Linked DNA regions of Saccharomyces cerevisiae S288C. The gene in region 1 interacts genetically with each later gene. Each region holds a gene or a part of one and is shown in the gene's direction. Other genes may lie near its edges.

The links. A genetic interaction does not mean that the proteins touch.
Region 2: mutations in BAS1 (region 1) and AIM23 together harm fitness more than expected from each alone (negative genetic interaction), as found in Saccharomyces cerevisiae (one large-scale study listed by BioGRID).

The regions. Positions count from the first base shown.
Region 1 is NC_001143.9:633,870-638,836, forward strand, and holds BAS1 (Bas1p), read left to right. Parts: upstream 1-1,981; coding exon 1,982-4,417; downstream 4,418-4,967. Other genes in the region: ubiquitin-specific protease UBP11, read right to left, coding at 1-1,310. UniProt on the Saccharomyces cerevisiae protein: Activates HIS4 transcription only in combination with PHO2/BAS2. BAS1 is also involved in the regulation of the purine biosynthesis pathway.
Region 2 is NC_001142.9:163,727-166,882, reverse strand, and holds AIM23 (Aim23p), read left to right. Parts: upstream 1-1,534; coding exon 1,535-2,605; downstream 2,606-3,156. Other genes in the region: URA2 (bifunctional carbamoylphosphate synthetase/aspartate transcarbamylase), read left to right, coding at 1-1,160; YJL132W (uncharacterized protein), read right to left, coding at 2,717-3,156.

The DNA.
Region 1 (4,967 bases):
TCGTACCATTTCTCGTATTTGGATGGGTTAACTTGTAAAGCATTCGCATCATATGACACTAGATCTGGATAATACTTGACAACATTTTCGTTCGAGAGCTCTTCATGTATTCGTGCTAAAACTATTAGTAGAAATTCCTGTGTATCCTGTTGATCATCTGGGATGTTCAAATCTGGCCTTAACTTCTTGCACATTTTTAAGAATCTATTTGGTATAATCGCTCTTCCTCCATTCAAATACATTTTTTTGAACAAAACGTAAATCGAGCGGGAAAGTTGGACTTCTTTCGGATATTTGTTAGTATTGAGGAATAGCCTATATTTCTTGGTTAAAAACAAATCCCGAAATAAGGTAGTGCCAAACAGACATTGAATTATACTGTTAATATAGCATGTATTGCATGGATTTTGCAGGCCAGTAATAGATAACTCTGATAACAGATCATTAGAATCTTCAATTACTGGTAGATTGTAAGCTTTCGGGGCCGAAGATTCTATGGCCTCGATCTTTCCTTCTTCCTCCTTTGGCTTTTCCACCTTGGATAAAGAGGATGAAGAATCTTGGCTAGAATCTCTGATTTGTGACGAAACCTCCAAGGAGTGCACGGGGGGAGCAGTTGCTGGACTAGACAGCGTTTTGAATAATGCATCCTTTCCAGTACTGAGTTTTAAATACGAGGGTTTTGATAATGCTTCTTTGCTTGTGTAGTACGCCACTTCAGAACCAGCTTCCAATTTATTACTTGATGCTATCTGATTACTTTCCCTGACTATGTCCTCTTTCGAATTATCATTTGTTGGTTTTGTTAGCTCATTCGGTATTTCATGTAGTGAGCCATCAAACTTGTTATGTATTGACAAAGAGGCCATATGAACAGGTAAAGGCCGTAGCGGTAAGGAGTAGGCTCTTTTTCTTTTTATGGTCCTGCAAATTCCGTTTGACTCCGCTAAATACCGGTCAACAATAACAGTACTTTCATCTCTTACCACTTTTAACACATAACCCATCACGTGTTCGTCTTGATAGTCGTTTTTTAGCTTTGCGTAACTGCTGTAGAGATTATTTCTTGTTTGGAATTGTAACGATTGTGGAATAATAAGGTACAGATAATAACAACCAATAATAAATGCTGTCAAAGCTTCCATTTCCTGATTGATTTCTAAATCCCTCAGGTAAACATTAAACAGATGAGCAGCATGGTCTAACAATCCTCTTAAGTTCTTTAGCCGTAATTGCGAATAAAACTGTTTAATATCTACTTCATATACTTTTCGAACTAGGTTTAGAATTTGATCTGGGTTTAATAACATTGTCTTTATGACTTCCGATTTAGCGAAAAGAAAACGGAAAGTAAGATCAATGCCACGGTTATTTAGTTTACTGAAGATCCTGAAAGACTACTAGCAGTAGCAGTAACCTTTCAGAGCTTATAATCAACCTAATGATTACTCAGCGCACAATCTAAAAGGGTTTCTCAACTAATTCTCGAAGAAATGTCAATCCCTTTTTTAAGCACTCCGGAAAAACTTTATAATAGATGTGGGGAAATCACCTTTGACGATGTGCAACGGAGAAACTATTTTTTTTTTTCTTTTTTTCTTTTTTTTTTTTTTTTTGGTCCGAACAATGCGATGAGCCAGACGAAGAAAAAAATAAAAAATGAGAATGAGTAATTATGTTAAGACCTTTAGAAGAAATAGGGTCCAGTCACAGAATAAAGCCCCAGGAAACTTTAAAGCAATCGAAATTAACCAGCTATATTTATATAATAAGAAATTTTTCTTATTAGTTTACTATAAAGGACTAGTGTACGTTTTTTGTGTTTAATTATTTGCTTTCTGATAATCCGGTTTGCTGATTTGAATCGTTCTCTGCAACAATTGTTGATCTCTAGTGGGGTAAACAAAATTAGTTTTGTTTAAAACTTTTGTTGTAGCGTTTTTGCTCTTTTTTTTTTATCGCAGAATACATTTTATCGAGAATGTCGAATATAAGTACCAAAGATATACGAAAAAGTAAGCCAAAAAGAGGATCCGGCTTCGATTTACTTGAAGTGACTGAATCACTTGGCTATCAGACACACAGGAAAAATGGAAGAAATTCATGGTCAAAGGACGACGATAATATGCTACGATCGCTAGTAAACGAATCCGCAAAGGAGTTAGGCTATGAGAATGGACTTGAAGACGTAAAAACAATTCAACAATCCAACCATCTTTCTAAATGTATTGCTTGGGATGTTTTAGCTACACGATTCAAACACACCGTAAGAACTTCAAAGGATGTAAGAAAGCGTTGGACAGGATCTCTGGACCCAAACTTGAAGAAAGGTAAATGGACACAAGAAGAGGATGAGCAGCTCTTGAAAGCTTATGAAGAACATGGGCCTCACTGGCTGAGTATCTCCATGGATATCCCTGGAAGAACAGAGGATCAATGTGCGAAAAGGTACATTGAAGTGTTGGGACCTGGAAGTAAAGGTAGATTAAGAGAATGGACGCTCGAGGAAGATTTAAATCTGATAAGTAAAGTGAAGGCATACGGCACGAAATGGAGAAAGATTTCGTCGGAAATGGAATTCAGACCAAGTTTAACGTGCAGGAACAGATGGCGGAAAATTATTACTATGGTTGTGCGAGGACAAGCATCAGAAGTAATAACAAAGGCTATAAAAGAAAACAAGAACATAGACATGACAGACGGAAAACTCCGACAACATCCAATCGCCGATTCTGATATACGCTCAGATTCTACACCGAATAAAGAAGAACAGTTGCAGCTATCTCAACAGAACAACCCTTCATTGATAAAGCAGGATATATTGAATGTTAAAGAGAACGAATCGAGCAAACTACCAAGATTAAAGGATAATGATGGACCCATTTTAAATGACAGCAAGCCACAAGCATTACCTCCCTTAAAAGAGATATCTGCACCTCCACCAATCAGGATGACGCAAGTCGGTCAGACTCATACCAGTGGTAGCATTAGGAGCAAAGTATCTTTACCAATTGAAGGTCTTTCTCAAATGAACAAGCAAAGTCCTGGAGGAATCTCAGATAGCCCACAGACAAGCCTTCCCCCAGCATTCAATCCAGCATCTCTCGATGAGCATATGATGAATAGTAATAGTATTTCAGATTCTCCGAAGCATGCTTATTCTACTGTGAAAACTAGAGAACCAAATTCCTCTAGCACACAATGGAAATTTACATTAAAAGATGGTCAAGGTTTGTCAATTTCTAACGGAACTATTGACAGCACAAAATTAGTAAAAGAATTGGTTGACCAAGCTAAGAAGTACTCTTTAAAAATTTCGATACATCAACATATTCACAATCATTATGTTACATCCACAGACCATCCTGTCAGCAGCAATACTGGATTGTCAAATATAGGAAATATAAATGGAAACCCTCTATTAATGGATAGTTTCCCACATATGGGTAGACAACTGGGAAATGGTCTTCCAGGGTTAAATTCAAATAGTGACACTTTTAACCCAGAATATAGGACTTCTCTGGACAACATGGATAGCGATTTTTTATCAAGAACACCCAACTATAACGCATTCAGCTTGGAAGCAACTTCACACAATCCCGCTGACAATGCAAATGAACTTGGTTCACAAAGCAATAGAGAAACAAACAGCCCGTCTGTATTTTATCCTCAAGCAAATACATTGATCCCAACTAATTCTACCGCTACAAATAATGAAATCATTCAAGGAAACGTTAGTGCTAATAGTATGTCACCGAATTTCAATGGAACAAATGGCAAGGCACCAAGTTCGACGGCATCATATACAACGAGCGGTTCAGAAATGCCACCTGATGTAGGTCCTAATAGAATAGCGCATTTCAACTATTTGCCACCAACTATACGGCCTCATTTAGGCTCATCAGATGCGACAAGAGGTGCTGACTTGAATAAGTTACTCAATCCATCTCCAAATTCAGTAAGAAGTAACGGCAGTAAAACTAAGAAAAAAGAAAAAAGAAAAAGTGAATCATCTCAGCATCATTCTTCATCATCTGTGACAACCAATAAATTCAATCACATTGATCAGTCGGAGATATCAAGGACTACATCCAGATCTGATACTCCATTGAGAGATGAAGACGGCCTGGATTTTTGGGAAACGTTAAGATCCTTGGCTACTACGAATCCAAATCCTCCAGTTGAAAAGTCAGCTGAAAATGATGGTGCCAAGCCTCAAGTGGTACATCAAGGGATTGGCTCACATACAGAAGATAGCAGCCTAGGTTCCCATAGCGGAGGATACGATTTTTTTAACGAACTGTTGGATAAAAAGGCAGATACACTGCATAATGAGGCTAAGAAGACGAGCGAGCATGATATGACGTCAGGAGGTTCTACCGATAATGGGTCAGTCCTGCCACTGAATCCTAGTTGAGAAGGCAAGGCCGAAAAAAAACACAAATCTTTCAATTGTTTAACATATTAGTTTTGTAATAAGCATAAGTGTATATTATACATAGCACAAGATGGATAATATTCTCTGAAAAAAACGTGTAGTTTCATGACTCGCATTTTTTTTTTTTTTTCTTTCATGTTGATTAACATACTTGAATTCTGTATTTAAGCTGTATAAAAAGTTGTTCTATTTCATATACGGCGATTTTGCATAATTAAGAACTTTGCCTTGTACACTATTTTACTAGGGTATTCTTCCAAGATTTCTCTTCTTATTTTTTCCCTTTATAAGTCATTGTAGCAACATAATTTCCTGGAAATTTTAAGGGAATATATTTCTTTCCGCCCACAAACACAAAGGGCGTTTAGTAAATTATGCGGCGATGTATAAAAGAGAAAGCAGGCAAAAAGAAAATGAAAAATGAGACTATGAACTTTAAGAATTATGTCTTGACTAATTTTTTAAAACCCATCATCCATGAAGAGTTCTGTTTGTATTGTTTACGTTTGATGTTTGAAGTGAATTTAAT
Region 2 (3,156 bases), on another chromosome or scaffold:
AAGGAAAATGCATTGTTAATCCAAGTCCAGCTTCCATAACTGCTTCCGCAGAGCTCCAATCTACTAGTGCTAAAAGAAGGTTCTCGATCACGGAAGAAGCAATCGCTGATAATTTAGATGCCGCGGAGGATGCAATTCCAGAACAGCCTTTGGAACAAAAATTGATGTCTTCAAGGCCACCAAGAGAACTTGTTGCTCCAGGCGCCATCCAGAATTTGATCCGTAGTAACAATCCATTCCGCGGAAGACATATATTGTCTATCAAACAATTCAAACGTTCTGATTTCCATGTGTTGTTTGCTGTTGCACAAGAACTAAGGGCAGCTGTCGCAAGAGAAGGTGTCTTAGATTTAATGAAAGGCCACGTTATTACTACAATTTTCTTTGAACCATCTACTCGTACTTGTTCTTCATTCATTGCTGCTATGGAACGTTTGGGTGGTAGAATTGTAAATGTTAATCCATTGGTGTCTTCTGTCAAGAAAGGTGAAACCCTTCAAGATACTATCAGAACTTTGGCTTGTTACAGTGATGCCATTGTCATGCGTCATTCAGAAGAAATGTCTGTTCATATCGCCGCTAAATATTCTCCTGTTCCAATTATTAATGGTGGTAATGGTTCTCGCGAGCATCCTACGCAGGCCTTCTTGGATTTGTTTACGATTCGTGAAGAAATCGGTACTGTTAATGGTATTACTGTTACTTTCATGGGTGATCTCAAACATGGTAGAACCGTACATTCATTGTGTCGTTTGTTAATGCACTATCAAGTCAGAATTAATCTTGTTTCTCCTCCGGAATTGAGGTTACCAGAAGGATTAAGAGAAGAGCTAAGAAAAGCTGGCTTACTTGGTGTTGAGAGCATTGAATTAACCCCTCATATCATCTCAAAGACCGATGTTCTGTATTGTACAAGGGTCCAAGAAGAAAGATTCAATAGCCCTGAAGAATATGCACGTCTGAAGGATACTTATATCGTGGACAACAAGATCTTGGCACACGCCAAAGAAAATATGGCTATCATGCATCCATTGCCTCGTGTAAATGAAATCAAAGAGGAAGTGGACTACGATCATCGTGCTGCTTACTTCAGACAAATGAAGTATGGTTTGTTCGTCAGAATGGCTTTGTTGGCCATGGTCATGGGTGTTGATATGTGAATGATAAGAGACCTATCCGTATTTTAAATTTATAATCTATTATTAAACTTTTTTAACCAATATTTTTATTTGTATATTACACTCAATAATATGATTTCCCAAAGTCGAGTTTTTATTTAAAACAAAAGATGGAATGATTTTGTAAACAAATTTTCTTGAGGAAACAAAAAATGTTTAAGGCATAGGAGTTGAAGGTAATCTCGTTCCTTTTGTCTAGTTTTCATCCTGAGCTCTTGAATTTTACCTGAATTTTCCCGCGACGGTAAGAACTTTAAGGGTCTAAAAAAGTAAGTTCAGAAAACTATAACAGCTATATATCACAAAATGCATACCTGATGCATACACAGTAAGGAGGTAACATCAGGTCCGTGGATATGTTAAAAGTTCCTTTGAGTGATGTTCTTTCACAGAAGATGCTGTTTTTAAAAAGTTTTAGATATTTTCATTGCACAAAATACTTCAGCAGAGACAATGCATCATCTACCACAGATATATTTCGCAACGCAATGAAACGTAAACGTGAGCTGGCAAATCTTAAAGAGCAAAGTCATGGAAATGTGGCAAGAAATGCTGCTTTTCCTAAAGAGTATATTAAGCGCCCGAAACAAGTGCCAAGGAATGCTACTAACAGGAAAAAAATCCTGATTACTTGGAGCACCGGGACAGATCGAGCTAAAGAGGCAGCTAATTCAGTTGTTAGTGAGATATTCAAAAAAAATCACAAGGGAAACATCAAAGTTGTGGATCCCACTACCCACCGAATTGAAGCATCCAATATTCGGTATTTTGCCAAGGGCATTGATCTCGATAAAGTTGGACTCAGTATTGTTAATGTAGAGCAAATCGATAATGAAAATCAAATTCCACTTGTTAAGATAGTCGAAAGTCGTGTAGCCTTAAAAAAATATTCAGACTTTCTGGCTAAAAAAAAGGAAAAGGAACTGATGGAATTGGGAGTACTGAATAAGTCTTACAAGAATTTGGTGACTGATAAAAAAGAAGATAACTTGAAGCATATTAAAATATCATGGCAGATTGAAAGCGATGATTTAAAAAGGCAGAAGGCTCACGAAATAGTTTCGCTATTGAAAAAAGGGAATAAAGTAACGTTATATCTTGATGACAAGAATAACATAAATTCAAACAATTGGCTTGAAAATTTTGAGGAGCTGGACCGCTCTCAAAAAGGTGAACCACCCAGGCTACCAGAATCAGTTTTCCAGAAAAGAGCTGCTGTCTTGGAGACATTGAAAGAGATAGTTAGCGAATATGCTAATGATCCTGTTCTGCTAGGTAACATGAACTCGAAAATGATAATGAAACTTATACCAAAGGACGTTAAACCACAAAACAACGATAAGAGGGCGTTAAAGGAATTGAGAAAGAAGGAGAGGCAAGAAAAATTGCAAAAAAGGATTCAGAGAAAAAAAATGAATGAAATGTAAATAGAAGCAAATGACATCAGAATATATATAGCGCATATTGCCAAATATGCTTTTCAAGTATTAAATTAATGTAATTGAACTAAACCGATGCTTGTACATAATAACTTATCATTAAAGTACCAGGATTCTACCGGTTAGCTGCATGTGATCAAAATTTCCATACCCATATTGGGGAATGCCTACTATAAGGTGATTTTGGGGACCCAAAATCATGCTATTACCAAAATTTGACACACCCTTGCTACTTTTGTCAGGATTTATGAGCATGAGATGCCTTAAATTATTAATCAAAAGGGTTTTGCGCTTCGGATCGTTTCCCGCCTTTAATAGCTCATCCATACTAATTTTCCATATACTTCCTCTTGCATCGAAACTGCCTGGGGAGGAAACGTACAATTTCTTTTCTTCGTCATTAAACAGCAAAGATGAACCAAACTCATCCGGGATTGAATCTGATTTTGTCTTAATCTTTAGAACCAGTTTTAAGAAAAACTCTATTTGCCCAGACTTCTCAATATATATAAACACAGTGTCAAACATTGGTTGAGATA